Notamacropus eugenii: one gene and its partners. The protein of the gene in region 4 interacts with the protein of the main gene of each other region in a pairwise test. Links are inferred from orthologs where the notes say so. Each region holds a gene or a part of one and is shown on either strand. Other genes may lie near its edges. The genes, in order: RAD54B, EWSR1, FSBP and ATPAF2.

Evidence for each region.
Region 1: the proteins of ATPAF2 (region 4) and RAD54B interact in a two-hybrid assay, tested with the Homo sapiens proteins (2 studies listed by BioGRID). The two-hybrid records come from large-scale screens. The link is inferred for Notamacropus eugenii from reciprocal best matches to the Homo sapiens genes ATPAF2 and RAD54B.
Region 2: the proteins of ATPAF2 (region 4) and EWSR1 interact in binary tests that used the Homo sapiens proteins (3 or more experiments, as listed by UniProt). The two-hybrid records come from large-scale screens. The link is inferred for Notamacropus eugenii from reciprocal best matches to the Homo sapiens genes ATPAF2 and EWSR1.
Region 3: the proteins of ATPAF2 (region 4) and FSBP interact in binary tests that used the Homo sapiens proteins (3 or more experiments, as listed by UniProt). The two-hybrid records come from large-scale screens. The link is inferred for Notamacropus eugenii from reciprocal best matches to the Homo sapiens genes ATPAF2 and FSBP.

The regions. Positions count from the first base shown.
Region 1 is NC_092875.1:158,614,764-158,622,539, reverse strand, and holds the start of RAD54B (DNA repair and recombination protein RAD54B), read right to left. Parts: upstream 3,018-7,776; 5' UTR 2,922-3,017; coding exon 2,887-2,921; intron 1-2,886. UniProt on the Homo sapiens protein: Involved in DNA repair and mitotic recombination. May play an active role in recombination processes in concert with other members of the RAD52 epistasis group.
Region 2 is NC_092875.1:16,381,630-16,388,463, forward strand, and holds the start of EWSR1 (RNA-binding protein EWS), read right to left. Parts: upstream 3,017-6,834; 5' UTR 2,933-3,016; coding exon 2,920-2,932; intron 2,523-2,919; exon of another isoform or gene 2,126-2,522; coding exon of another isoform or gene 2,119-2,125; intron 1-2,118. UniProt on the Homo sapiens protein: Binds to ssRNA containing the consensus sequence 5'-AGGUAA-3'. Might normally function as a transcriptional repressor. EWS-fusion-proteins (EFPS) may play a role in the tumorigenic process.
Region 3 is NC_092875.1:158,658,802-158,666,118, reverse strand, and holds the start of FSBP (fibrinogen silencer-binding protein), read right to left. Parts: upstream 3,014-7,317; 5' UTR 2,924-3,013; coding exon 2,550-2,923; intron 1-2,549. UniProt on the Homo sapiens protein: Transcriptional repressor that down-regulates the expression of the fibrinogen gamma chain. Represses transcription of GSK3B gene promoter via its interaction with APBA1.
Region 4 is NC_092874.1:335,298,456-335,306,108, forward strand, and holds the start of ATPAF2 (ATP synthase mitochondrial F1 complex assembly factor 2), read right to left. Parts: upstream 3,010-7,653; 5' UTR 2,740-3,009; coding exon 2,589-2,739; intron 2,536-2,588; exon of another isoform or gene 2,509-2,535; coding exon of another isoform or gene 2,421-2,508; intron 531-2,420; exon of another isoform or gene 1-530. Other genes in the region: GID4 (glucose-induced degradation protein 4 homolog), read left to right, coding at 3,498-3,686. UniProt on the Homo sapiens protein: Plays a role in the assembly of the F1 component of the mitochondrial ATP synthase (ATPase).

The DNA of each region.
Region 1 (7,776 bases), on a different chromosome or scaffold from region 4:
GATACCCTCGATCCTTATTCTGCTAAAAAGTTCAGCAACTCAAATGGCCTCTGCCACTCCTTTCCTCTTTTTTCCTGATATTAGCAAATCATCCACATATTGTATTAATGTTGTCCCTTAGAGGTGCAGGATGTTATCTAACACCTGTTCCAATACCTGACCGAATAAATTTGGGGATCCTATGAATCCCTCAGGAAGTATAGTCCATCTATACTGTAGTTTCCTACCTGTGGAGGGATTTTCCCATTCAAATGAAAACAAGTACCTACTTTCTTTAGTTAGTGGGCAGGCCCAGAGGGCCTCCTTCAGATCTACTACACTGAACCACTTGTGTTCACAGGGAATTCTACTTAACAGGGTATAAGGGTTCAGAACTACAGGATGTCTGATCATCACAATTTTGTTTAGGGCTCTCAGATACTGAGCCATTTTGTACATTCCAACCATCTTTCTGACAAGAACAGGGTTGTTAAAAGCAGGACATGCAAGGTTCTCCGAGTCCATCTTTTACCAAATTTTCCAAAACTGGCTGGAGTCATCTCTTTCCTTCCATTGGGATGGAATATTGTCTCACTCGTAATGCTTCTTCATTCTTTAGTGTGATCTTCACAGGCTCAATCTGCAATCTCCATCTGTTTCCTTCCTTAGCCCACACTATTGGGTCAATAGTCCTCTCATCTTCTTTTAGTATTGACATCCCAATTATTATTTGCTCATTCTTATCTGTTTTCAAGACTAATTGTATAATTATATATCTCCCTAACAGGTTGGTTCCCACCTCAAGGATATAGAGAAGACTCTCTGTGACCTGCCTCTGTCCTAACATTAAACTGACTGGTTCAAATATGGGTACTGAAAATACCCCTCTCTTAACCCCAGAAACAGTTAGATTCTGATCTGAGAATTTGATATCTGTTGGTTTGAAATTCAATGAGGACCAAGCGGCCCCCATATCTAACAAGAACACCACATCCTCTTCTCTGGGTCCCACCTTGATGTTTGTCAGGGGTTCCAAGTGGAACCTAATATAAGAAAACCCCTGACTCCCCTGATCTTCCTCAAAATTCATCAGGGGAATAATCCTTTCTTCCTTCTCCAGAATGGGACATTCTTTCTTAAAATGTCACTGTTTCCCACAATGGAAAGATCCAGTCTGCTGGACAGGGTGAAAAGTCCCTCTATGGCCCCTTCCTCCTCCATAACTCCTTTGTTTCTCAGCCCCCCAGTTTCCACCTTTACAATTATATCCTCCTTGTTCATGCTTTTTCTTCATTATCTCATTCACAGTAGTTACCATAATTCTAGCTTTCTGTTTTTGCTTTTCTTTCTCTCTTTTCACAAACACTTTCTGTGCTTCCAACAATAGTTCCTCCAATGGCTTCTCACTCTAGCCCTTTATCTTTTGTACTGTCTTTCTTATATCAGGTCATGCCTTAGCCACAAAATGCACTTTCAATAATCCTTTTGCCATTGAGGGGTCAGGGTCCATTCCCAAGTATTTCCTCATCTGATCTCTCAGCCTCTTCAAAAAGGCTGAGGGTTTTTCTTCTTTGGTTTGCTTTATCTCAAAGGCTTTAAAGAAGTTTTATGATGTAGGGGCAGCTTCCTTTATGCCCTTAATTATCATGTCCCTCAGATCTCTCATCATTACTTTATCAGCCACTCTACTGTTATCCCAATTTGGGTCTATATTGGGAAATTTCTGCTCTACAGCCATACTCCCAGTCCTAGAGGGTGTTGCTTCTCCCATTCTTGAATGGCTGCTCTTCTAATAATACTTCTTTCTTCCCCTTAAAATAATATGTTCATTATACACATCATTTCCAGCCAAGTGTAAAAATTAAGTCCTAAGAACTGGTCTAATTGTTCAACTAACCCTATTGGGTACTCAATTAGAGATTTCATTCCCTTTTTAAAATTTTGGACCTCAGTACCTGTGAGAGGTGCATTTACAAGTCCAATCTCACCTCACCCCATTGGCACTTCTTTTAATAGGTACATTGGTTCCCTCACTTCCTCTCTCCCTTCGGATTTCAGGGAATGGGAGATTCTGTACATCCTTTTTGCATTGCTCTAGTTCTTTCCTCAATCTAGCATATCAAAAAACATCCAGCTTTGGTGGGAACACACCGGACTTTTTTCCTGGCTCTTCTTGTTCCTTACACCCTGGACTTTTACATAGGTCACTTAAATCTATCCTGGCAATTCTCCCAAAGGAGGAGTCTGACAGGAGCAATTAAGCGGGAGAAAGGGACTTCAAGGAATTCCAAGGGTCCCTTTCCCTCATGTATGTTTTAGCACTACCCTGGTTCTCTAATTGGAGCGGGAACAATTGGTTGTCAAACTCCCTCTCCAAAGTAACCTGACTCTTCTTTGGAGAAGGATTATTTATCATTTATTTATCATTAACAAAAACATTCAGAGCCTGACACAGCCATTCTTCAACAGCCCCATATTTGGGCCAACATATGGCCAGTGATATAATACTCTGCTTTGGCCACTCAAACTAACAATACCTGATCATTTTGTTTTTATCTCTATCTTTGGCCTCTGACATATTCTTCCAATATTTTAGCTTTCTCTCCAAAGGATTATCTGGAGGAATGCTAATGCTCACAGAAGAATTCACTTCCTTTCTATGAGGGGAATCCTCCCCTTTTGGTGCCTTACTTCCTTTATTCCCCATTCTACCCTCCCTCTGAGACTTCAGACTGACCATTGAACTCCCCCGTTTCACCCCTTTTGGTGTTTCCCTTGTAGGACAGAACAACAGATCTAGGCTTCACACTCACTTTGTACCAATAGTCTTGGTCACACACACTCAGTCTCAGACTTATAGAATGATCCCAACCATCAAGGTAATATTTAATAGTCCAATTTTCTTACCTTGATTTGTGCACAGTTACCTGGTTGCCAGGCATGTGCCAATGATTTATCTCAGTGTTCTGGCTTCAGTTTCCCAAACAGTCTCAGGATCTTGGGCAGTCTCGAGAGCGGACCATTTGCCCATACTCTGGGCCACTGAAATCAATGAGATAATACCTCCCATTCTCCATACTGGCTCCTCCCCTCCTTGATTCCTGGATCCCAGATGAGCTCCCCAAATTGTGAGAAACATGCTTGCAAAGGAATAGGACCTTAACTAATGAAGGCAAGAAAGTGTTTTATTACATTCTTGCAAGAGCTGGTTTCCTATACATATGCACACCAAGTGCTGGGCACAGTCAGCTTTTATCCCTATTTCCAACTATGAGATCCTTTCCAAAGTCCTCCAATAGCTATGAGGTGTACACACATCATTCGTGTTTCCCTTGTCCCTCTCTCATCATGAATCACATGTATATTAAAATACACTGCTCCCACCTTGGGAGAGGATAAGGTTAATATGTATGAGCTTATTAACCACGGGTAAATGCCTTTGCCTTCTGACCTAATAATGGATCTTTGTTGCCAAACTGCACTTCTGATCTACACCAGCTAGTTTCTTGCTTATGTCCTGCTATGTTGTCTCACTCTTTCTTTCGGTGTTAGGTTCTTCTTTTATTTCTGTGAAAATATAACTATCTCTTCATTTCTCATATTCATAATCTCCTCAAACCTTATCGCATGTCAAATTTGATTCCATCAATTTCCTCAGGCTCATCCTCCCACTTCCCTCAGTTGATACTAGTCTCAAACTCCCTAGGCCCATTTTGGCTCCAACATCAGTTCCTCTTCAGCATCCAGCCTTCTTATCTTTTACAATTACTTTCCCTAGATATTTTCTGGCTATATTCCTGCCATGTTTCTGCTTCTCACTCCCCTCTCATCCCTCTCTTATTGCCTTTATTCTGGGAGTAGTAGCAAAAAAAAATCAACACTATCATTCTCTACGTACCATCTCCTTGATTTTCTAGACCACAATCCACCTCCTGGAACACTGTTTCCAAATATGTGTGGTCTTCTCTAATTTGAATCTAAATTTCTTGAGGGCCAGGAACTATCTTGTTTTTTGCACTTAGATTCTCAGGGTTAAGCACATACTAAGTGCTTAATAAATGCTTTTTCATTCGCTCATCCTGTATCCCAGATTCACTCCTACTCAGATCCCTCTACCTAGTAAATCACTTTTCTCTTCACCCATAGCACCCCCTTCTCCTAACATTCTTCCCTTCCAAATACTTTTTCACCTATATCCTCCTACCCCCAAAACCATTATGTCCTGGACTTCAAGGTGAATTGGGATCCAAGATGAAAATGGAACATAGAGTGAAAAATTCCAAAATAATACGCAGCAGGGAGTTCTAGAATAATGTGGGTATCAATATGAAGGGGTGGTGAGTACAAACCCAGTAGTTCATAGGCTCAAAAGATCATAGACATGGAGCTCAAAAGGACCTTTGAGACTATCAGTGAGACTACCTCTCATTTTCCAGTGAGGAAACTGAGAATCAAAGAGATTAAGTGATTTGCCCATGGTCATACTACTAGTTAGTATATGAGACAGGATTTGAACCTGGGTTTTTCTGAATCCAGAAGACAGCAAAAGGAAATTCAGAGACATAGGTAAACAGGACAATTTTAGAACTATAGTATTAAATTTATTATATACTTAAAAAAACCAGGCAATATATAACAGAGATTCAAGATTTCACATACTCTTATTCTTCTGTGTATGTGTAAATAATCATGCTTGCTGACATCTATCAAGTTTATAATAATTTTAAAGTTTTGTAAAAAGTTTCTTAGATTCAGTAGTAGAGCCAGCCAGCCTTTCAAGTAGCAATACACTTCAATTTGCATAACTGAATCTTGGAGAGTTTAAAAAAAATCCACTGTTAAGTTTAGGAAGGTGCCCAGATGATAGCTAAGAATGAGAATATGGTATTTATAGGTCTACCCAAATTATGAGATTAGCATATTAGGCATACAAAGCAAAAGGCTTGTGCTTCCAAATTTTGGGGGAAAACAATGTTTGGTTTTTTTTTAACGTTCACCATGATCCCTTCTTAGCTCATGCACAATGATAAATGTGTCACAAAGACAAAATGGGAAAGCAAATCTGTGGCATTACCAAGCAGCTCTCAGGTTGAGTGCTATAAATGGTTGGGGAAGAAGGAAAAAGCTAATTCTGAGAGTATTCTCAAGAGCCAAGCAAGAATAATAGTAGGTCAGAGGGAGAAGGTTATCATTACATATTTGGACCATGACTCCCTATGAATGGCCATTTTTCTCATAAGGAAAGAATAAAAGGTTTAGAAGACTCAAGGTAGAGAATAAAGAAAGGCCTAGTTTAAGTAGGTAAATATATCTATTCACAGTTGGGGACCACTTCCAGGGAAGTGAATTTAGTGAGATTCTATATATGCCCAAAAGAGAAGTAATACTAGAGTATTGCCACTGTCACTAGTAGCCTGCCATGAGCAGGATTAAGTGTATCTGAAATATGATATTAGGGTAGGGAACCTGTCATATTTCCTAAGGTCCTCTCTCAGCATTTCTCATGGGAGATTTTATGGTTCATATACTTGACCTTATCCAACAGAGCTAAAGTTTATCCCTTCTTCTGTTCTCTGTCAGCTAGAGCTCAACCAAATCAATTAAAAGAATCTTCCTGGGTATGGGAGGAAAAAATATGTCATCAACATACAACATTGAACTATTTTGGAAAACATCAGAGTTGAGAATCTGTGTATCAAAGTATGTAGAACAAAGTACTCCCCAAAGAAAGCCCTGGGAGGTCAGAAGCTAATAGGAAGGACCCCAGAATCTCTAGTCCAGGGCTGTAGTATTTAAGACTCTCCAGGACAAGTCCCTAATATTCTCATGATCCAGAACTCTGAACCTCAAAGACCTTAAGGTACCTAACCAAAGAAAATCAGTCAGCGAAAGAACCTAGGTAAAACTAAGCAGGACAGACCACACTACCCAAAAGTTCAGTAAGGGGCAGAGTCTGGTTCTGGCACAAAGCCACATTTCAGGAACTAAAGCTTGAAAGATGAGCAAACAAATATTGGAGAGGATGTGGAAAAATTGGGACACTTCACTGTTGGTGAAATAGTGAAACGATCCAACCACTTTGTTAAGCAATCTGGAACTTTGCCCAAACTATCTGTCTGTCTGTCTGTCTGTCTGTCTGTCTCTCTCTCTCTCTCTCTATCTATTTATCTATCTATATGTATATATATATATATATCATTTGATCTATCTATATCTATCTATCTATCTATCTATCTATCTATCTATATATATATCATTTGACCCAGCAATACCACTACTTGGTCTATTTCCAAAGATGATTAGGCAGAAAGGAAAAAAACCTCTGCTCTAAAATGTTTATAGAGGCTCTTTCTGTGGTGGCAAAGAAAGCGATATCCATGATTGGGGAATGACTGAATAAGTTGTGGTAGATGATTATGATGGAATATTACTGTGCTGCAAAAAATGATTAGTGCAAAGATTTTTTAGAATAACATGGAAAGACTTGCATGAAATAATGAAGTGTGAAAAGAGCAGAATCAAGAGAACAACGTATACAGTAAGAGTAATACTGTCTTAAGAACAACTTTGAGTAAATAAGTTATTTTGTCTACTATAAATAACCAAATTCACTATAAAAGACATGAAGAAAGATGCTATCTGCATGCAGAGAAAGAACTGATAAACACAAGTATAGAATAGTTTTACATATACATATAAACACCTATTTGTGTCTAATAGTAGCCATCTCTAGGGAGAGGGAGTGGGGAGGGAAGAAAAAAAGGAAAAAAAAAGACATTTACATAATAATGTTGTTGTATATTTAAAAGGAATGGCAAATTGTACATAACAGTTTGCAGTTTCATGTGCAATCATCTTTTTTATTGTACTATGTTGTAGAAATGCTTCTTTTACTCCATAAATTAAAAATAAAATAATTTTTTTAAAAGATGAGCAAGCAGAAGACACACCACTAAAAAGAATTATTATAGATGCAAAGGAGACAAAAATCAACCTAGAAGCAGAGAACAATTACTTCACAACTAAAAGCAAGGACTCAAAGAAAAAAAACTCCACATATATTACATGTAGTATAACTATCAAGAAGAGATGAAGAGATGAAAAAAAATGCAATAAAAGCTCTGAAAGAAATGAAATGGGAATAATAAACTTAGAAGACAAAGTGGCAATCCTTATCCAAGTAAGATAATCCCTGAAATGAGAACAGACCAAGGAGAAACCTGTAGAGGGCCGAGCTCTGGACTGTGGCCCCCTGGTGAGCCCGGAGACCCCGGGGGTGAGAACCCGCCTTCGGGTGCTGGGAACACCCCTTCCGGAGCTGAGCTCTGCCTCCAGGGTGGAACATGGGAGGAGCTACGGCAGGCTATATAAGGGGGAACACGGGAAGGTAGGGAGAACTGGGGTAAGCAATAAAGTGCAGTAAGCAGCTCCTCTGGTGAACTGTTTGGTCATTCCCCTCCCCCACAGGAGGGGGCCGGAACCGTTGGAAGACCAGGTAAAGCAGTTGGAGAGGTAAGCTCCAGGCCACAGCTCAGGGCTGGCCCTGAGCAGAAACCAATGACTTCTTCAGACAATAACAAATATTGGGACAAAACTCAAAAGAATGAAAAAATACAGTAAAACATAAGTCATCTGATATCAAAAGCAAATGACTTGGAAAACAAATCAAAGAGACAGGTAATGTAAAAATCAGACTTCTTGAAAACCATGATTTTTTAAAAAGTTTAAACAGTATAGTGCAAGAAATCATAAATGAAAATTATCCAGATCTATTAGAAACAGAAGGCAAAATTAAAA
Region 2 (6,834 bases), on a different chromosome or scaffold from region 4:
TTGCCGTAAATATACAAACTATCTAATGTCTTCGGACAATGTGCTTTGCATAACAAGTTTAGGTGGCTAGGTGGATAAAGCACTAGGTCTCAAGTCAGGAAAACCAGGGTTCCAATTGAGCCCACCTGTGACACTGGGAAAGGCACTTAGCACCTCTCGGTCTCAGTTTCTTCTTCTGTAAAATGAGGAAAATAGCAGCATAGCACCTACCCTCTCCTTTGGAAGGGTTGTGAGGATCAAATGAGATAGTATTTGTGAAGGACTTAACATAATGTTTGAAACACAGAGGCATTATGTAAATGTTAGCCATTATTATTATTAAGTCTGAAGATAAAATAATGTCTACACAAACTACTCCAAAACTGAAAGAGAATCTCTGATGACCATCTAGTCCCAGGGTCATTAATCTGGGGTCCACATACATAGAATTTTTTTATAACTATAACTGGCTTCCTTTGTAATCCTCTATTTTATTTTCTGCATTTAAAAACTTTCTGAGAAGGGATGCAAAGTACCAGTGGGAACCATAAGAAGTTAAAAATCCAATCTCACTGTGCAGAAGACCATAAAATTGGGGGTGGGGAATGACTTCAAAGACACACCTTAATGAATGCAGTTTATTAACAACAGTAGTCAGACTAGATACATCATAAATTTTTAGTGAAGGATATCTCCCTCCTCAGGTCGAGTAGAGCAAAAACACGTTAAAGTCAACAAGTATTGACCAAGCCACTTTTAGGGACTTAGTTACCCACCCAATGCTCCTATACCGAATGAATTCAATCAAGGACAAGTATATCTTTAGATTAGCTATCAAAATCAAATACTACATGCTGCAGGAGAGAAGGAGAAGCTTTCAAAATCTACTTCCCCCCTTTCTCTAGGTTTTGGCAGGAGCAATTCCTCTTCGAAAGGCATGAAGGAGAAATGTAGGTAGAGTGCAAAGAAAAACACTTTCCCATTCTTTGTGCATTTCACACAAAGGTTTCTTTCTAGGGTCACTCCCATCTTACTTAGGTCTGTATCTAAAGACCCAGGTTTTATTGTTCAACGGAGGGATAGAAGCCAGAAGCCAGAGTGCCTCAGGGCAGTATCTAATAGGGGGCAGAGACCTAAGTAGGGTAACGTCCTCTCAGTTCCCTCCCACAACCATTAAGTTTAAGAGGCTCCAAATACCCCCAGGAAATAAAACAAATTCATGGAAAGTTGGAGGGAACAGCTAATTACATTTGAATTGGCTTATTCCTAAATGCATGAAATCCTTCACAGCAATTACATCTTAAACTAATGCATAGAGCTTAATAAGTCAACAACTTTCCTTAAGCCCAAAAGCTAGCTAAAAGATTCTCTCGTCATACACTTAATCAACCCAGGTTTTCCAACAATCCTGGAAGCCAAAAAGTACAAATATTACTTAGCCATAATTCAAGATAAGTCCTGCCTTTTGTTCTTTTTAGGTCAGAGATTCCGAATAATCCACGGAAACACCATTAAGTTGAGCTACCTAGATACATGGCTCTGGGTACCTCTACCTATCTACGAATTTGCTAATTTCAAAAAAACAAATTAGCGGAAAAGATAACGCAAAGTTCTTCTAATAACAGAAAACTGTGGAGACAGTTTACATTTCAGAGCAGATCCCTTCCAACTCCAGTCCAACAAGATTTTACCGTTGTTTCACTCTAACGCCCAGAGACGGTAGGGCCAGCGGACTCCGTCTCTCAGAACCGCCTGAAGGCCCACGAAGGCACTCCAGGGGTTCTAAAGTCACAGTCTCTCCCAAAGGCAGCACGATCCCAGCTCCCTTTCAAAATCTGGGCAAACGAACAAGTCGCTTCCCCTCGTCCAGAACTGCGAGCTCAGCACTTCCCCTTCCAGCTTACTTCTGAGAGCGTCCGCCAGCCCAGGATTAAAAGGCCCGAAGCGGCCCCTCGGGCCCCCTCCCGTCCAGACCACGGATCCCAGGAGAGCAGCCGAGAGCAGGGCAGACAAAGGCCTCGCGGACTCGTGGCTGGAGGGGCCAAGCCGCTCTAAGCCCTCCCTTCCCGGGCTCAGGGGGTCCCGCGGCGGCCGCCCCCCCAGGGCGTTCCTCGAGGGCAGGGGCTGGGCTTGGCTTACCGGCCATAGCGGCCCAGACCGGAGGGGGAGGTCTCGCCGCCTCGGCCTGCCTCAGTTTCCTCCGCTGTAACGGGCAGGTTCCGGCCGCCGCGGGGCGGCAGGTGACAGGTCCTCCGCTAACGCCCCCAGCCCCGTCCCGCCCCCGGGGAACCCCTTCGGAGGCAGCTCCCCGCCCGGAGGCGCCCTCCCACCGGCATCAGGGCGGCTCCGGGGCATCAGCGGAGCAAACGGCGCCTGCCCTCGAGGAGCGGCCACTCGCAGGGCGTGGCGGCTGCGGGTCCCGGCAGGGGCCGGCCCACGTGGCGGGAAGTGCGCGCGGGCCGCGGGGAGGCCTCTCCCGGGGACACAATGGAAGCGGCGGCGGGCGGACGACGGCGGCCCGGCCGGGCCAACGCGAACCCGGGCGCGAAGCGGCGGGAGCGGGAGCGCGCGCGCACGGCCGCCCCCCTCCCTCCCGCCGCGCGCCCCCGCCGTCGCCGCGCGCCCCCCGCCCCCGCCGCGAACGAGCCGAGGCCCCCACCCGGCCCGCTCCCCGCCCACCCGCCCGCGCGCCGGGAAGGGGGAGGGGGGCGGCGGAAGGTTCCAGAATCCCACCCGCCCGCGGCGGGGAGGGGGAGGGGGAAGGGAAGAAGGGCGAAGGTAGGCCCCAAGCCCGCCCCGCGGCCCGGCCGCGCAGCGCCGCCTCCACCCGCCGCCCCCCAGGCCCCGAGAAGACCCCCGCGGTGGCGCCCCCAACCCCGAAGGCCTCAGCTCCCTCGGCTGCCGGCACGGCGTGCCCTGGGGCCCCGGCGCCATACTCACCCGTGGACGCCATTTTCTCTCCTTCCTCCTCCTCGTTCTCTCAACGTCCGTCTCTCTCTCCCTCGGTCGCTTGCCCTCTCGGCGCCGCACTGCGCAGGCGCGGACCGCACAACCTCGGGCTCTACCACTAGGATTGGTCCGCGGGGGGGGAGGGGAAGAGGCGAAGGAGACGGAGAGAGGCGAGGGGAGGGCTTTCCGACCCAACTCTCGCCTCAGTCGGGAGGGGGTGGGGTCGGGAGGCTGGGGGCGTCTAAGTATCTCCTGAAGCGCCACGAACCGCCCCTACGAACGAGCCCTGGGGGCGGGGCGGTCACCGATCCTACTCCCCAACGGGGCATAGATTGGAAGAATGGTTCCGTCCTGGGTTTGTTAGGGACCGTCCCACAATAGTCCTCCCCGAGGAAAAACGAAGACGAGCCGGAGCGTTGGGGGAAGGGATCCTGGGGCCGTGGCACAACTGCTGACTAATCGTGGAGGGGGGAGTCTGGAGGGGGGGCCAGGTTGGGACCCGCTCCGCCAGAGGGAGAGCCACGTGGCTGGCCCGGGCTTCGATGGCACTTGGCGTATCAGTTTCCGAGTCTTGAAATGGCCGGGGGTCTTTGTACCCTTGGCTCTGGAAGTCTGGGTTTGACCCCCCAGCCTCCTGCCCCTCCAAGGGGCATCGACTCCCCCTCCCGGAGAGCTGACCTTGGGAGGGCCCAGCCCCTCCATGCCCCACTTTACAGATGAGGAAACTGAGGCCCAGAGGGGACAAGGGACTGGCCCGAGTCCGCCCAGGGGGCCCGACCCGGACAAAAGAGGAAACCCATAAGGGGACTGGCTTGTCCAGACCGTCAGTATTTGAACTCAGACCCCACCCCAAGCCTATCTCCAAATGCATGGATCCTCTGCCTGATCTGGGTTCAAAGTTTCAGCCGGTCGCCGGACCTCTTTTAGTCCAGCCCCTTCACTTTACAGTAGAGGGAGCTGAGGTCCGGAGAAGAACTCGCAGCCAGTCCATAGGATCCTCTTGGACACATACTATTCTGATCCACGCGGTACAGTGGAAAGTGTCCGACGTGAAGTCAAATCTAGGATGCTTTGTGTGACCTTGACAAATTGTCCGACCTTTCTCACCTGTAAAATGCAGGCTGGAGAATTGGATTAGATGCCTTCTGGGGTTCCTGCCAGCACTCAATTTTTAAATTTAAGTAAAATTTGATTTTTTTCAATGAACAAAAATTCGCCTTGTCTCTGTCTCCTGCCCTGTTGAAAAAGAAAACCCTTGTAACAAATTCTATTTATTCATTGTCTTTTGAGAGATGTAAGCCGTCTCCACATTTTAAAAATTGCTTTTAGCGATACCTTTTGGTTTTGCTATCACCTACATTTCCCCCCATATCTTTTGTCCTCAACCTGAGAGACATGCCTTGTAACCAAAAAAGTATATATAGATTTTTTGAAGAGGAAGAGAAAAAAAGGCAAAGCCAATCACTGCACGAAAAGAACTCGATGCTATTTCCATCCTTCTTCACTCATAGACCTTTACCCCTCTCCAGCATATTCACAATAAGATCTTGGTGGAAAGGAATATCATTAAATGTATGATCTGCAAAAGAGATGACCCAGCCATGTATGGAGAGCAAGAGATAATAGTTTGATGTTTCAGTGGGTTCACTGCTACCCACCAAATTTAAAAATAGCCAGAGGAAAGCCTCCAGAATAGCCGAGAGATGTTTTATGGGACATTTCGGATAAGAAAACATGAATCCAGAGGAATCCACAATGGAAATATGTGGCTTGGTACATGCTAAGCACTCCCTAGATGTTGGTTGATTGAAATACTGTTTCAGATTTATTTCTGGTCAACAAACATTAAGTGCTTACGACATGCAGGGCACTAGCTGGGAAGACAAAGACAAATGTGAGAGTCCCACCTGCCCTCAAGGACCTTATAGTTTACTGGTGATAGAACAGGTACACAAATGGCTCTAATGTTAATTTCAGAAGGGAGAATGTGCTAATAAAACTCTGTTGTTTTTGGTTGTGTCTGACACTTGGTGACCCCATTTGGGGTTTTCTTGGCAAAGATACTGGAGCAGTTTGCCATTTCCTTCTCCAGCTCATTTTACAGATGAGGAAACTGAGGCCAACAGGGTGAAGTGACTTGTCCAGGGCCACACAGCTGGTAAATATCTGAGGCTGTGCTGGACGCAGGAAGATGAGTCTTTATCTACTTTGACACTTTGCTGCCCAATAAAAACCCTCCCCAGTCCCTGGTACTCTCCAGGGTACTAGATATCATCCTCACCTCCTCCCTTACCAATCATTGCCAAAGCCTCATGTTTCTATCTTTGTAAATATCTCGAATATACCCCCTTCTCCTCTCTGCCCCTGCTCCCACCCTGGTCCAGACCGTTATCACCTCAGGCACAGACTATTGTGATAGCTTGCTAGGGCAGGGAGGGTCTGCCTGCTTTGAGTCCCCCCACTCCAAGCCATCCTCCATCCACTTGTCACACTGATCTTTCCAAAATGAAGGTCTGGCCATGTCACCACCACCCCCTACTTTATAAACTCCAGAGGCTCCCTATTTCCTTCAAGATCAAACAGAAAACCCTGATTGATGTTCATAAGCCTTCATAACCTGGTGCCTTCCTATGTCTCCAGTCTTGATGCCATCCTCACATTCTGCCATCCAGTGGCATGGGCCTCTTGGCTGTTCCTCAACCTAGAACCCTCCCTCTCATTTCCCACCTTTGGGTATTTGCACTGAAATGCCTGAAATCGTCTCCTTCCCCATCTCTACCTGCAGCCAACTTCCCTGCCTTCTTTCAAGGCTCAGCTAAACTCCTGGCTACAAGAAGTCTATCCCAATCCTCCTTCATCCCATTACCTTCCCTCTGATGATCATCTCCAATTTTCTGGGCACATACACCTCTTTTATCCGTAGTTGTTTGCATGGGGCCTCCCTCATTAGATTTTAAGTTTGTTTTTCCTTTCTTTTAGCATGTAGTAGATGCTTAATAAATGCTTCCTGATAAATTGACAGCTAATTGAGAAAGATCAGGGAAGGCCTGGTCTAGGAGCCCAAAAAAAGCACCAATCCCAGTGCTTTGATGGAAGGGAAAGTGAAAAGGGAGCAAATTTCAGGCCTTGGGAAGCTTTTGTAGATATGAAGAGGCAGAAGATGGGATTTAACCCCACGCATCAACTAAACCCATATCTTATCTCCCCTATAACCTTCCTGGGGGCAGCTGTTGTGATTTATTCACTCCCAATTTAGAGCTCCTTATACCTGATAGATCCTTAAAAATATTTGTGGAATAAATTGTGAAGGTTAATGATGAACTCCCTTTGAAGGCCTTCAGGGTACATACTATTTTTATCGATTCTGTAGGTCATATTGAAATCTTGGAAGACCCAGTCCCTACCCTTTAGGAAGGGTAATTGAGAGGACCTGGCAGTCACTTATGTATCTATAAGGCAGATCAATGTGGTGGAAGAGAAGTCTAGACTGGAACCCATGGTAGGGAAAACTCAAGCCAGCCTGCCACCTGCTAGCATCCTATTTGAACTTTATTCTTATATTATAGGTTCTGCAGGGTCGGGGGGAGGATGGAGGGGAGGGCATGGGGAGGAGAATGCAATACGAGGTCAACACTCATGGGGAGGGAAAGGACCATAAGAAAATAGAAGTAAAGGGGGACAGGATAGGATGGAGGGAAATATAATTAGTCCTATACAACACAACTAGTATGGAAATCATTTGCAAAACTAAACAGATATGGCCTATATTGAATTGCCTGTCTTTCAAGGGGAAGGGGTGGAGAGGGAGGGAGCTAAGGAGGTTAGAACTCAAAGTGTTAGGACCAAATGTAATGTTCTTACCACTGGGTAACAAGAAATACAGGTTAAGGGGTCAAGAAAGCTATC
Region 3 (7,317 bases), on a different chromosome or scaffold from region 4:
ATGTCAATTTTAGAAAAAAGGAACTTAAAAACCAAAGAATATATAAAACAAATTGTACAAAGTAGTACAATCAGACATTCTTATTCATAGTGATGCTTTTCCACCTGAAGATTGAACAAGGCATTTGATAAAATCAATAGGTAAATTATTTTATAGTATTACTGAAATCATTAATAGTTAAGACCTGGAAAAGACTTTCAAGATTTAGTCCAATATCCTTACTTTGGACATGAGAAAATTCAGAAGTAGAGATGGTAAGTAACTTGACCAAAGCTGGGATTAGAGCTCAGGTCACTTGAATTACAGGCTCTTGTTTTAAACAAACAAAAAAGGTAATGAAAAATAAGTTTACAGAATTATTTTCAGGGAATCTGATATTAATTAGTTACATTTTAAACTGTTCAAATTGTATAATAAATATCTATAATATTAAACAGGAAAAATATTAAAGGTTATTAATATTAGGAAAGGAAAAGAGGTAACCCTTAATAGAAGTAGGAGAAACGTGAAGACAGGTGGGAAAAAGAAAAATAAAATGTAGAAGACAGCAGAAAACTACAATATATACATTGTACAAAGTAACAAAGTATACAATCTTTTAAAGGCATTCTCCATAATCCTACTCAACCTAGGAAAAGTTTGCATACTTTGAACATTCATTATAGAGAATGCACATCAACTAACTAGTTTCTCTAATACACTCAAATTTCTAGACAGCATTAAGTGACAGGCAAGCACTGGACAGAAGAGCTGGTGTTTATTGCAGCTCTATTACTGATTAGTTAAATTACCTTGAACATGTCATTTCAACTCCATAAGCCCAAGTTTCTACATCGAGAAAATGGAAATAATCATAAACTATTCACCTCCTAAGGTTAGTAAAGGGATCAAATGATCCATTGTACACGAACCTTTATTATTAAAGTATATTTCATTGGACAGTTCAAAAGGTAAGCAGACATAGACATTTATACTTAATTCTCAGTAACAGCATTTTAAAAATATATAATCCAAAATCTAAGCTTTGTGCATATTTTTCCTTGCAATGAAGCTGCAAACATGAAACTGTACAAAGACATTGTACATGCAACTCAAGAGACCTTTTCCCCTACAATACTAGAAAAAAGCATTTTCTGATAACTAGCTAGTGGAAAGCTCCTATAAATTTCCCTGTTATTATATGTTAATTTTGAAAAGTATGTCAGGCTAAGACAATCAGTAATCATTCTATTTGTTTTAACTATGAATTAGATCGCTCACACCGACATTCTATTTTCCCCTATTTGTCCTATATTGTCAACTAATTATAACCAATATCTAACTGTAAAAATGAGTTCGTTGTTTTTTTTTAAACATCTCTCAGCTAAGTATAAAAACAAACTGATATCACGTTTGGGTGATAATTTTCTTCTTCTTGCCTTCTTAACGTAAAAAATATTTCACTATAGAATAACAATTCTAGAATTATAAAGTCTACACAAAGAGGAAAAGCTCTGGAAGTTTTATTTGGAGGACATTGGTTGCTGAATGAATGAAAAGTCACACCTCTTAAAAGGAATCCACAATAAATGCAAATAAAAATTATCTAATCAGAGTAGAATGCTAATTAAGCTGACCTTTTCAGCTTTCATACTATTTAAACTTGGATGTGTTAAGTGAATGTCCTGGATGATTTTCAGTTGAGTGGCTAAGTGTACAAATTTAACCAAAATTGAACACAAATGTCTGTCTACTCACCCTAAGAAAAAAACTGCTTGTGGAGATATTATTACAAGTTGGAAGTTTAGCATAGTTAGGAAGTTTTAAGAAAAAGCTTTCATACCTCCATTTTCACCTGTGACTCAGATCAAAATAATCACTTAATGAGTGCTAAAATACAACAAAGGGAAATTATCAATCTTAATTTAGAAAAAGCCAAAAAAGCAAAAACTTTTCTACTTAAAAATAAATGTTCTAATATAGAACAAGCTGGCAAAAATTATTTAAACTTTTTCTTAACATGCAAAATAATGTTCTCATTACTCATTAAGGGTTGTAATTAAATTGTAAAACATTAGAAGTATATCAACTATCTAGACTGAATGATAATTTATGAATACCATTAGGAGGTATTAAAGAGTCAGTTTATCTTCCATGATATCAAATTGAAAATTTATTGAAAGTTATACATAAAATATAGTTCTTATGAGCAATTTGCCTAAAATGAGCAGTAGAAGTGAAGGGATAACTTTTTTGAACCTCTATTTACATAATTCACTATTAAATGAGATAAAGGATATGGGTTGCGATCACAAACTTCATCCCATTTATTTTTTCAATCTCACTACCTGGAAACTGGACAGAAGTAAATATAAACACATAAAAATAAATTTAATGCAGAGACATTTACAAGTTGACTTTTTTGCAATTAACAAAGCAAAACAAAGGCACCATTTCCCCATCTGTACTGGTTTACTGTGCACATCTGTATCTCAGTATGACAGCAAAGCCAAGCTCAAAAGATAGGAGGCGCCATAATTTTCCAGTAAAAAAAGTAAAGTAAACCTTACCTTTGTATATTGTTCTTGTCTCTTCCTAGGCATACACTGGAAAGCTGGGGAATCATTTCCACAACTTTCTTGGTTGGCTCAGAAATACTGCTCCTATGATCTAACAGAGTCTCCTTTTGCTGCAAGAGCTCCTGTTTGGCGTTTTCTTTGAGCCTTTTATAGAGGGTACGCAGGCCTTGTGCTGTACGAGGAGGGCGATCTACTTCAATAGCATTATATGTATCTGCTATGATATCCCAGCATTTGTTCTTTTCCACTATTACTGAATGTTTATTAGTGTGCTCTTCAAGAATTTTAACATATGGCTTCACCAGATTTAGCAAATCAAGCTTTTCAGATAATGTAAAATTAGAAGATCTAGCCTTTCCAACCATTGTTATTTCCGAATTAAGTAGGCAGTTTCTGAAACCACCATGCAGTCTCTGGCTCTGCTCAGCTCTTTTTCACAAACAGAAAAAAAGATCAGGCTTAACTAGGCTAGCCTCATTTAGGCCCACGCCTACAGGGGAGGGTTTATTAAAATTCCTCCAGCTTAAGCTGACGCAGGTTCAGGAAATCTGCTTAAGCCAAGCCTGACCTACATAAGGCTTTTCACTGAAGAAGACAGGAAGGCACAAGTAAAACACACTTGTGTGTAAAGAGAACAGCCCTAAACAGGATTTAATACACAAAGGTCCAAAGATAAGCATGGTGCCCTCCTAAAAATTACCTAATTTAATGAGAATATCTGTTTCTCGCATGTGTTATCTAGCTGATAAACTGAAACTGCATTGTAGCTTTGCTTTTAGTGAGGACAAATGAAGTAAAAACTGTTTTGTGCTATTTATTTGCAAACACAGGAAACAGAAGAATGAAAAACTAGAGTGGCGTGTGTAGAAAGATCCCTAACAGAGCCCCTGATCACTGTTCCTGAGCTGCTGTTCTCCCTTACAGTATTTGCATAATGCTAGTCCTGCTGTCAATCATGAATTGCATATCCTCTAGCTAGTTAGGTTACACCCAGACTCAGACTCCACAGTAAAGCTAAGCTTCCCCTCCATTTTCCAGTCTATCTTATCCTCTGGTACAGTTTTTCTTAAAATGTAAAAGGTTTGGTTGGAAATATGATCTAAAAACTGAAGGTGGTAAGTAGGACTTCCTTTCTTTTGAGGAATAAATTATTCTTACTACAATGAAACTCTTAAATATATGCTAATATGCTATATCATATGTAAAATCACTATTCATTGAGACCTAGCAAAATCAAGCTGTAAGACTGCAAGCAATAAAAAAATGCGTTTAGTATTATAACAGAAACAGATATTAGTTTAGCTCTGCGTGCACGAGTAAACACACACACACACACACACACACACACACACACACACACGGGACCACAAAAGGAAACAGAGCAGTAGTATCAGTTTGTCACATTGGTTTGGACATTTGAATTCCAGTCTGAATAAAGCAGTCATTACACTTATTTTCTCTAGGATTACAGAGATTTTAACATATGTAAATGAACTATAATGCATCTAGGCCAATTCACTACCACTGTCATAATTTCCAAACTGGTCTTATTAATTCTTTTGAGGACGAGACATAAATAGAGAAGCAACTCATAGCATCTATTATTACATTACTCATGTTCAATCAATATATTGACAAGCATTTATTAAATGGCTTCTATTGTGCCAGATACTAGGGATACCATGGCAAAAGTAAAACAGTACTGCCCTCAAGGAGCTTACATTCTAAGGAGAGGAAAGGAAGGAGGGATAACATGCTGCAGCAGATTACTCTACAAAGCTGTCTGTTTAAAAAAAAATTTACATTTTAAGTATCTATATAAAGGAAAAAGTGGTAAACCAGAGAATAAAAAGCTAAGGAAATAATATTGTATAGTCTAATCTTCCTTGAATAATAAATACTACAAAAGTTCCCTCTTGAATATCAATATCCTGAGAATTTCAACTTCTTGGACATTCTAGGAAGGCAGAGATCAGGGAACTCACTGCTTTAAAGTGAATGAAAAGAGAAAGGGTGAGAAGAGTAAAGTAACTTGCAAGATGTTAGAATCTATAAAGAATTGCTTCAGGAATTCTACATCTACTGCTCCAGGTTCCTGTTGACAGGGCTGAGAAAGGAGTATTTAAATGCAACAAGAAGCAACATTATCATTCAGGGAGGAAAGCAAAATGACCTACGGTTTGAGGGAGTAGACTAAACCAGGCCGTACGGAGCTAAGTGAATTTCCATACCAGGTACTAGTATATGGTGAATGAAGTTAGTAATAGGTATTTTAAATAGATAAAGAAGTACTTTTCAATAATTACAGTAGCTTATCACAGCCTTTCGTGGACAATGAATGATTGTCCCAGCATCAACAACAGAAACAGAAATAACATTTATCATTTACATTAATCTACTGTTTTAACGGTAATAGTCAATGTTAGAGGTATAATGGGTCTGGTACATGTGCAGAGCACCTTGGGAAGGCTTCTCCCCATGTAGAGAAGCTGAGGCGCCTGATACTAGAAGATCTGGAATGATGTATAATGGAAATACCTTGAAAAGAATGGGAATCATTTGACTTTAAGTCTAAGAAGACTTAGATATTCTCTAACTGGTTCTGGTCTGCTAACCATAAGGTTAGGGGGAAGCTTTTCTCAACTAGTTGAGTAACTACAATGAAGATATCTTCAAAAGCTAAGCCAGCCTCCACCTAGGTCCTTTGGTCATTACTACTTTATGTGTGCTTTGGTGGTGTAACTATTGGGACATTCTCTCCTTCTTTTAGTGACCCTGTGTGAAAAGACTTTGGTCTATGGCCTCTGTGCTTGATCTTTTCCTGTTATAGGTGGAGGGAATGGAGCTTTCAATCTTGAATGTTTTCAAAAGTCAAGAGAACAAGACGCAGGAACTTGTGTCTGAGTCCACGCAGGGTTTTGCAGCCAGCCCAGCAGCACCAATGTCCTGAGGGGAAAGGAGTGATCTTCAGAAATGATGTTCTGGACTCAGGTAGTTGAGATGAGGACTTGTTGATACTTGCGCTATGTGGACCTGAATTTGGTGGGTCCAATACTGGGCAGGAACTGATCTAAGACAAGGTTGCTGAGGGAAGAGGGGTAATATTTTAAATTTCTTCTTTTTATATCATCAAAGTAAATATCCCTCAGTAAAAGCTAATTGATATTATGTGGGTAGTGGAACTAGGGCTGCAAGTCTCTACTGATTTACAAAGGCGGTAGGGGAAGAGGATACAGTGGGAAAGTGGGGAACCAAGCCCATGAGAGCAGAGAAGAAACCCCTCAAAACCCAGCAGTTATTCTAGAACCTAGAGGAACAAATGTAGCTGACCTGGCTCTCAGCGAGTAAAGCACACAACATACTAGGTAGAGGTACTATGGACAGTCAGGTACACAATACCCTGTTGGTGAACTTGTGAATTGGTTCAATCATTGTAAAAAACAATTTGGGATTATGCAAAAAAATTACTAAAATGTCACTGAATCACAGAGCACTTCATCAACCACTTAATCCAACAAAAATAGGAATAACTCATACACAATAATAACAGCTAGCATTCATATAGTACTTTGTTTGCCAAAGTCCTTTACATGTGTTATTTCCTTTGATCCTGACTACAACATCATATTATTATTACTCCATTTTACAGAAGAAGAAACAAAGCTGAAGAGATTAAGTGACTTACTCAGAATGAATTGCTAGTAAGTGGTGGAGGATTTGAATTCTAGCGTTCCTGATTCCAAGTTCACAACTTTGTCTACTACACTGAATTTCTGAGGGTATGCACTGATAATATCTAATATAAATTTTAGACTTTAAGGGTCAGACCTCGAATTAAGCCTGGACCTAAAAGCCCCTTTGTTCTCTAAAGTAAACTCACAGAATGCCTCTTCCTATGTCAATAAAGGTAGATAGGACTGACTTAACATTCCTTAGGAGACCTTTCTTAATATTTATAGATATATATTATGTTATGGCATGTTAATGGTAAAGAAAACACAGACATCTTGGGTCGTAATTTCTATTTGAAATTGTCAAACTCTGTTATCTTTTTGTATTTACAACCTATGCAATTAAGAAATTCCTTTCAAATGGTCTAGTTAATCACTTATGGAGACCATAAATCTGGACAAAGACTACCTTTTCTGTTCTAAAACAGATTTAAGCCTGTAAAATTTTGTTTGAGATTAGTCAGATTAACCTCTGGCTCCCTAGATCTATGTATTGTTAACTTACAAGGGAATTAAATAATAAATGTGCATTATTATTTAATAATAATTAAATTTTTTAAATTTAAATAATTTAATACATAAATTTAATTTAATTTAATTATAATTTAATTAAAATTAATTTAAATAATTAATAAATAAATAAATTTAATTTAAATAATTAAATTAAAAACAGGCATTTAGCCTGTGGCCTTTTTTTTAACCAAACTTTCAGGTCAACAACACCCAAAGAAGGAAGGCTATGTCAGAAAGTAGGAACAATTTAATTACTTTATTAACATAATTCCAAATGGCTTTCCTGAAAGGTTTCTTTCCTAGCTCATTCATAGCTCCATCAAACACTTACTTATCTTCCCACTGCCTATCCAACACCAGTTCTGATTTTTATTATTTTTTAGCAACTGTCTGGTATTTAAAGGCTTCACAACCTGATTCCAATCTACTTTTTTCAATTTATCCATTATTCCTCTTGATAACACTCTCAGGTCCAACTGTTACTAACATAACCTTTTACCTCAGGTGTCTGTCCC
Region 4 (7,653 bases):
AAAGATCACCTTTAACCATGACCTTCCAACATTAGATTGTGTACTCTTTGGAGGAAAGACACAGGGCAAACACAAAGCATTAGACTGCCTTTGTTTTGAGTTCTTTCAGATCAACTGAATAGGACTGAATATGAAACTATTGGATGGAGGAGGTCAAGCAAGCCCACTCAGAAGAAGCTGCAGGGCATTCTGAAGGAGAGACAGGAAGCATCACAGACCAGTTGGGTCAGCCAACATCTCTCTTTGGAACTGTAGTGCTTTCAATCCAGTGTCAAATGGTTCAACACAGAAACTGATAGGATTTTGTCAGTGGAAATGGCATTGAAGATCAATCATCACCATCTGCTTTGCTGCTGTACCCTAAGGACCAGGGGACCTTTCAATCTGACTTGTAGCTGAAACCTTCCATATGGAGTTTCCCCAGGAGAATGTGAGCTCCTTGGAAGGAGGGAATGGCTTACTTTTCTATTTATATCCACAGTTTTTTTATACATGATAAGTGCTTAATAAATGCTTCATTCATTCATCGACTCATTCAGGAAGATCTGCCACATGATGAATTTTCCACAGAGTAAATTTCCTACCAAGTTCCCTTATATGATAAAAACTCTAAATGAGTCAACGTAAATTATTTTCTAGGTAGTGGAGACAGATCAGAAATCTTTCCCATAGCAACTATATTAGGGTAAAGAGTACTGGCCACTAACTGGCCAGGCCAACTCCCTTTCTCTCCCTGCCCTGCCCCCTCTGCAGTATAGAGAGGGAAAGGGGAGACATCAATCATATATTTCAAGTTAGAAAAGACAGTCTACAGATAAGGAATTGCTGCCAAGAGAATAGGTGGCAAAGTAGCTGTCAGAATTCATCTACAGGAACTCATAAAGATCTCTGCTTTCCTCTATACCAGGAAAAATCTGAAGAAAAATCAGGAGAAAATGTATGGGACAATCCACTAGGAAGGGCAGGGGGAAGTGGAGTACGACCAATCGACCAACCAGTCAGAAGATGGGTTACATCTATCCTTTGCCTAGACATCCAATCATCAGGCACCTCTCAAACACAACCCCAGCACCCCCTTCAACCATTATTGCCCAACACTACCCCACTTTGCCTTCAGCTCCTAAACCTCTCCCCTTCTACTCCATCACTAAAACCAATCAATCCCAGCAGGTATGTCAATGCATCTCCCACAATCCCCCGAACCCCAGCAAACACATACACTGCCCCCCAGATCACCTCATGATGGTTTGGTGCCTCTTGGATAGTCCTATCCTCTAAAGGAGAAATATTAAAATTCATCTGTTTGGTTAGCCACATCAATCAAATTGACTGAATATTTAATTCACACCCTTAACATTCACATCAAAGTTTTGAAAAGTGAAATGATCACTATTACTAAATCACTCTAGCTTGTTTTTATTGAGAAAGCAGCAGTATGTATGTTTAATGTGATTGGGAAGTAACCAGAAAATCTGCTGTACAATACAGGTGTTCACTGGTTATATATATACTATATATGATAATATAGATAATATATAATAGCCAGTGATAACCAAGTACCAAACTTACAGATGTTATACATTTTTCTTTTAGCAAAAAAAGTGATAGTTTCTGCTATGAAAGTGGTTGTCAGAAATAGTACTGTACTTAGCAGTTATTTAAGAAGAAATTAACTTGAATCTGTTCTTTCAATATAAAGGTGATGTTTTAATGAGTTTTAATGTTTTAAGAATGAGAATGGTTTTTGAAAGAACTAATGTAAGAGAGCACTGGAAAATGGAAGGTTGGAAATATTTCCATCATGTGATTTTGTTGCTAAAAATGCTATGTTGTCATCTATAAACTCTCATATCTTCAAAGTTAAAAAAAAAAAAACCTAAACAGCTTTGGAAACAATTTTCTAACCTGTTTAAAAATCTTCTAAATGAAAAGTTTCAGCAGGTTTTGAACCCATTTATTAAAAATATTAAAACGAGACACCTGCAGATTTTAACTTGCAGTAGAAATTTTCTAGCCAACTTTCAACCAAAAAATACCTCAGTATATCATCGATAGGGCCGAAAAGCGAGTATGAAGATTGAGTGAGTAAATGCACTGTTTCCACTTTGTTCTTTGTCAATTTTTTCCCAAGGTAAATTTACCATTAAAACCCAAATTAACTGAACCTGGGACCATGTACAGTGATACATGTAATTTATTATATATAATAGGATTATACCTCTATCTTCATATATGTACATATCGCTATACACATCTATAAAGGGTGAATCTACTAGACATATCTACACATACACCTACTTACGTGGATCTACCTCAATCTACACATGCCTAGTTATAGGCACAGACAGATGTAGGTCTGAATGGACAGACAGATACAAATATAAGCAGATCTATATCCATATATACACACACACATATACCTCCATACATTAGGGCTACACGCTTCCACATGTTTTCCCTGGAATAGGTGACCCCTGGGCTGCAGGGCCCGTCCGTCCATCCCGCCATGGCGGGTGCCCCTCTCCGGCCCCCCCCGAGCTACCTGCGGCCCAGGCCCGGCCGCAGCGGGGCCTCCCGCCTGCGCTCACCTGCGGGGGGGGCGTAAGCCCGGCGGAGGAGCCAGAGCCCCGGGGCCGGCGCGGCCTGGTCCCCCGGCTCTACGGGGGCGGCAGGGACCAAGCAAGGACGGCGTGGGAAGCTCGCGCCTCCGGCCCCGAGCCGAAAGCAGCTTCGCCACATAGCACCTTTGGGCGGGGACAGGGAGCAATCGAGGAGGGGACCCCAGGGCGTGAAGGAGAAAGACCGCAACCTCTCACGGTTGGGGCAGTTGCACCGGACCCGCCTGCAGAGTTCTCCCACCACTAGCTGAGTTCAACTTCCTTTGGCCACCGCCATATGACCCTGAGCCACTACCGGCCGGTCCCCTAACCTTCGAGCCCTCCCAGCCAATCAGCGTCACGAACTCGTTCCGTCTCTAGGCAAAGACTACATATCCCAGCGGGCCTTCGACCTCTGGACACGTGTGGCTCACGCCAACCAATAAGAAGAAGCGGCGGCTAAAATTGCTCCCGCCCCCTCACCGGGTCAGAGCCAATTGGCCTGAATTAGCTTATGTGTGTATGAGTGTAAGTATGTGTGTGGGTGGGTGGGTATGTGTCTGTGTGCGCGTGCGCACATGAGTGTGTAGGTAGGGGCGGGGTGGGGGGGGGCATCCAGGGAGGGGGAGCCCCCGTTCTCTAGTCCTCCCGCACCCGTCGGCGGCTAGAGTAGCTTGTCGGCCAATAGCGGGGTGGGCGTCCCTCTCCTCCCTCCCTCCCCTCCCTTTCTCATCCCGCGCGCCTGCGCGCGCCCGGCCCCCTCGGTCAGCCCGCCCTCCTCCGGCTCCCGCGCGGCGGCCGCGGCGGCTTCTCCCCCCTCCCCGGCTTTCCCTTCCCCCCTCCTCTCCCTTCCCCTCCCCCCTCCCCCACCCCACCGCCCTGGCTCCGGGGGACCCCGAGATGCCGGTCCGCACCGAGTGCCCCCCGCCGGCCGGAGCCTCGGCCGCGTCCGCCGCGTCCCTCATCCCGCCGCCCCCCATCAACACCCAGCAGCCCGGAGTGGCCACCAGCCTCCTCTACAGCGGCTCCAAGTTCCGCGGCCACCAGAAGAGCAAGGGGAACTCGTACGACGTGGAGGTGGTGCTGCAGGTACCGGCCCGGCGGGCGGCGGGCGGGCGGCCTCCTCGGCCCGGCCCGGCCCGGGCCTCCCCGCGGCCGGCCTCCCTTCCTGGTCCGCACCCGTGCTCAGGCCCCCATGCCCGGCCCCTGGAACTCCCCCCCATTGTTGACACCCCCAGCAATGGGTGGGGGGCTCCCCCCCAAGCAGGGTCTTAGTTCTCTGGCCCAATTCCCCCTTTTCGTAGACGTCTGTCCTTCCGCACCCCAGGCCGGCCTCCCTGAGTCACCCCCCGACCGCTGCGGGGGCCTTCCCTTCCCCATCTCCACCTCGGGGCCTCTGCTCCCCTCTTGTCCCCGGACTTCCTACTCGGTCCTTCCTCACCCCCACCAGACGTCGTGCCCCCCGATATCTTATATCTGTCCTTCCCTCCTCCCGGGGCCTCCCTGAGTCACCCACTGACCGCTCTCCTTCTGTCCACATCAGTCTGTCCTTTTCTGTCCGTAGGACCCCCCCGCCCCCCGCCCCGACACTCCTGATATTGCCCCACCCCACCCTCATCTCCACCTTTCTCTGCTGCACAGAACATCCTCTTCTCCTGCCTTACACCCATTCATTAGAAAGGCTTTGATCCCTGGAGAACCTGCTCATTTCCTCCTCATCTGGGGACCTGCTCCCTGGTTGAAATAACCCATGAAACCTGGCAACTTTCTTCCGTACCTCGCCTCTATTTCCTCTTCATAACCTGACCAACAACCACTCCCACTTCTCCTGAGGAAGAGGTCTGGTTAGTCCCCCCAGTGAGCTTCCCCTCCCTTCAGACAGCATTCCTTCTCTCTGTGAACCTCTATTAAAGAGGTCCTCCTTGCCTCTTACATCACCTCCTCTCCCTGAGCTGGCTTTGGAAATGTTTCCTGGCACATCCGTGCCACTTAGGAGGAATTTGCCCAGGGTGGTGATGTGAAATTTTGTCCTGGATGTGTGAACGGGATGGACAATCTTGATTGCTCCTTACTCATGCCTTTTTCTTTGGTCTAAGAGGGTCTAGCATCTTGCCTCAGATCAAATAGGCCTTTAGTCAAAAGACACCTTAAAAACAAGTTCATGAATCCCAGATTAGGGACCCCTGTTCTTGAGCGCAAAACAAACCTTTTTTCCTTGTCTTGTGGAAATCATTATTCTCCTTTCCTGGAATGGGAAGATGTCCAGTGCACTTTGCCTTAACCATTTTCTTCTTAGTTAGCCTAGTCTATATACCAGAGGACCTCTCTTCTTTTCTTCCCTTAGGGAAGGTAGATGATTTTCTTTCAGGCCTGAAAACTTAGCTGCTATCCTTTGTCATATTGTTTATATTAAGAGAAAATGTGGTGATTTATCTGTGCTCTTCCTGAATTTTAGAAACAATATATAATAGGCTTTCTCTTCATTTCCCAAATTTTGTGTCCTTTCTAGAGCGTAGTTGCGAATGTCTTTTACAACCCATCGCAGAAATCGTCTTAGTGAAAGAGAGCTCTAGAGATTAGCCATAAATTGTAAAGATGAAAATGTTTTTGTCTTCTTTGTGACCCTGATTTCTAATTTGGGACCTTAATCTCAATAATTCACTTTTTCCACATTTGAGGACAACCTAAGTTTGGGGCAGGTGAGGATGTATATCATGGAAAAGGATAAGAATGAGTCTGCTGAATTTGATATTTTAGATCAGGATGAGGACTGGAACTTTAAGACAGCTAAAAGTAGAAGCCCATGGATGCTGGCTATAAGACATCTTAGCTCAAACGGAACTTTCTAATGTGGATTGTAGTCATGTCAGGTAAAGGCTGTGCTTGTTCTGCAGGTGGATGGTGAGCTCGTTCATCAAGCTAGCATTCTTGTTGCTCCATCAGCTAGGACCTGGCTACTTCTGTCCCTGTGGCCTGTTTGCTTGTACCGTATTCATTCTTGAGGTTCTGCCTTGAGAAGAATTCTATCATATCATGCATTTTACCGGGTCTACATTTTTTTTTGCTGCAGTGTACTTCTTGCTATCCAAGAAGCCAAGTGCAAAGGAAATCTTAGGACACTGTGGAAGGAATATAAAGAGAGCACCTTTGTGTCCAGATGTGCTGAGTGGCTCCTTTTTGCTAAACATGTTCTTTTATCTTTCTCATCTACACTCTAGTTACAATATACACTGTTAATCTTCTCCTTGTTAATTCCAAGCTTCATAATGGTCAGTTTAAACAGAATAGATGAAGTATTGGGTTGAATGTAGGACATTCTGGTTCTTTGATGTTTTGTTATTCTTAAAATATATTAGCCAGGTCACAGATGCAAAAACAAAAAACAAAACAACCACAGCCCATCTCATCAATATCCATGTCACCCTGGTATCTTTCCTTCACTTGTTAAACCCCCATATATGTTTTTTCATTGAGTGCTGCATATATAGACAAGGTTGTAGATTAGAACTTTATATGTCATTTATAATTTAGGCAGTGCTGTGTAGTGGAAAGAGTATTGTTGGTCTTAGAATTAGAAAGACCTAACTCAACTCTGCCACTAACCAGCTGTGACCTTGAGAAAGGCAAGACTTAATCTCTTTCTTCATCCACAAAGTGAAAATAGTATGTATGCTAAATATCACAGTTGTGATGATCCATCCAGAATAATATATATGACTCCAAGAAATATGTGAAAGCACTTTATCATTGTGAAGTAATATACAAATATATATATATATTGTTATGGTAAAAGTTCTTTATTGCAGCCTGCAGCAGGTTGGTTTCATGAAACAGTGCTGGATTCCTAAGGTTAGCAACACATGAAAGCCTTTAAAATACAGTTTTCACATGCAGTATGGTAGTCACATAAAACCGTGCTCAAATGTTTTGGCTCTGTAGAAGACTTGTTTTGATACATAGGATCATAGATCTAGAACTGAACCAACCAGCCTTAGACATGAGGACAGTGAGAGGCCCAGGAAGGTTTTGGCTTGTCTCAGGGTTACGTAGATGAGAAGGGGCTAAGATAGGATTTGAACCCCAGGTTTTCTCTTCCTGGGTATACATATAAAATTTCTAAGTGTTTGTATTTCATTCACAAGATCTCTTTAATCTCCCTATCTTCCCAGCTGCTACAAAGATGTTCCAAATACCTCTTAACATTTGAATTTTGGTGTTGTGGGGAGTTTTGTGGTTCTTAAAAATATCCCATGTGTCTATTTTTAAAATGGCTATGGTAGTTTTAAACTCAGAAATATAGACATCTAACCTCTCTGGTTAGTTAGTGTTGCTAACTAAACTTTTAAGTTGTTATAATAAAAATTATAACAAATTGTTATAATTTAAATAACAAGTTATAAAAATTATTTTCCTTCAAAGTGTTTCCTATGATTTTAATTTTTTTGGTGCTTCTAACACTTTGCTCTTAAGACATAAAAATAGTATTTCAGCTACTAGTAGCCCCATCATATACATATGCATCATGTTCTGCCAGTTTCATGTTAATGATAAAAGATGGTGACTAGTATAAAATAATGGACAGACTAGGAACATATGAATAAACTGTTTAATCATGAGACTGATAATTTAGTATAGAGAAATTGAAACGGGTACAGAGGTATTTTGAAAGAGATAACTAAAACTGAAAGAGTTACAAACAGGATGTTGTTTTAGATCATCTTTTAAGAGGCTTTTCTTCAGTTCCTATGTATATATAACTGGCTAGAGAAAGCTAATGCCTGATGGTTATTGAAAAGTGCTCCCTAAAGTCTGCTACCTTGACATCACACAGGCATAGGTCAAAAAAGGAGTTAGTCTTAAAAGAGTTACTGTGTTCTTTGGGATACCATTAGGCAGGATACATATTAAGGTCTGCGCCAAAATAAAGGTCTTAAAAGTAGTGTTTTGAGCCAACTGGTTATGTGTCAGTAGATGGAAGTCTTGGACCTATCTCTGTCATGTCCATCCTTTTAAAAAGTCAGGAGAGTCATAGGCAAATGTCTTGGGCAGATACTTT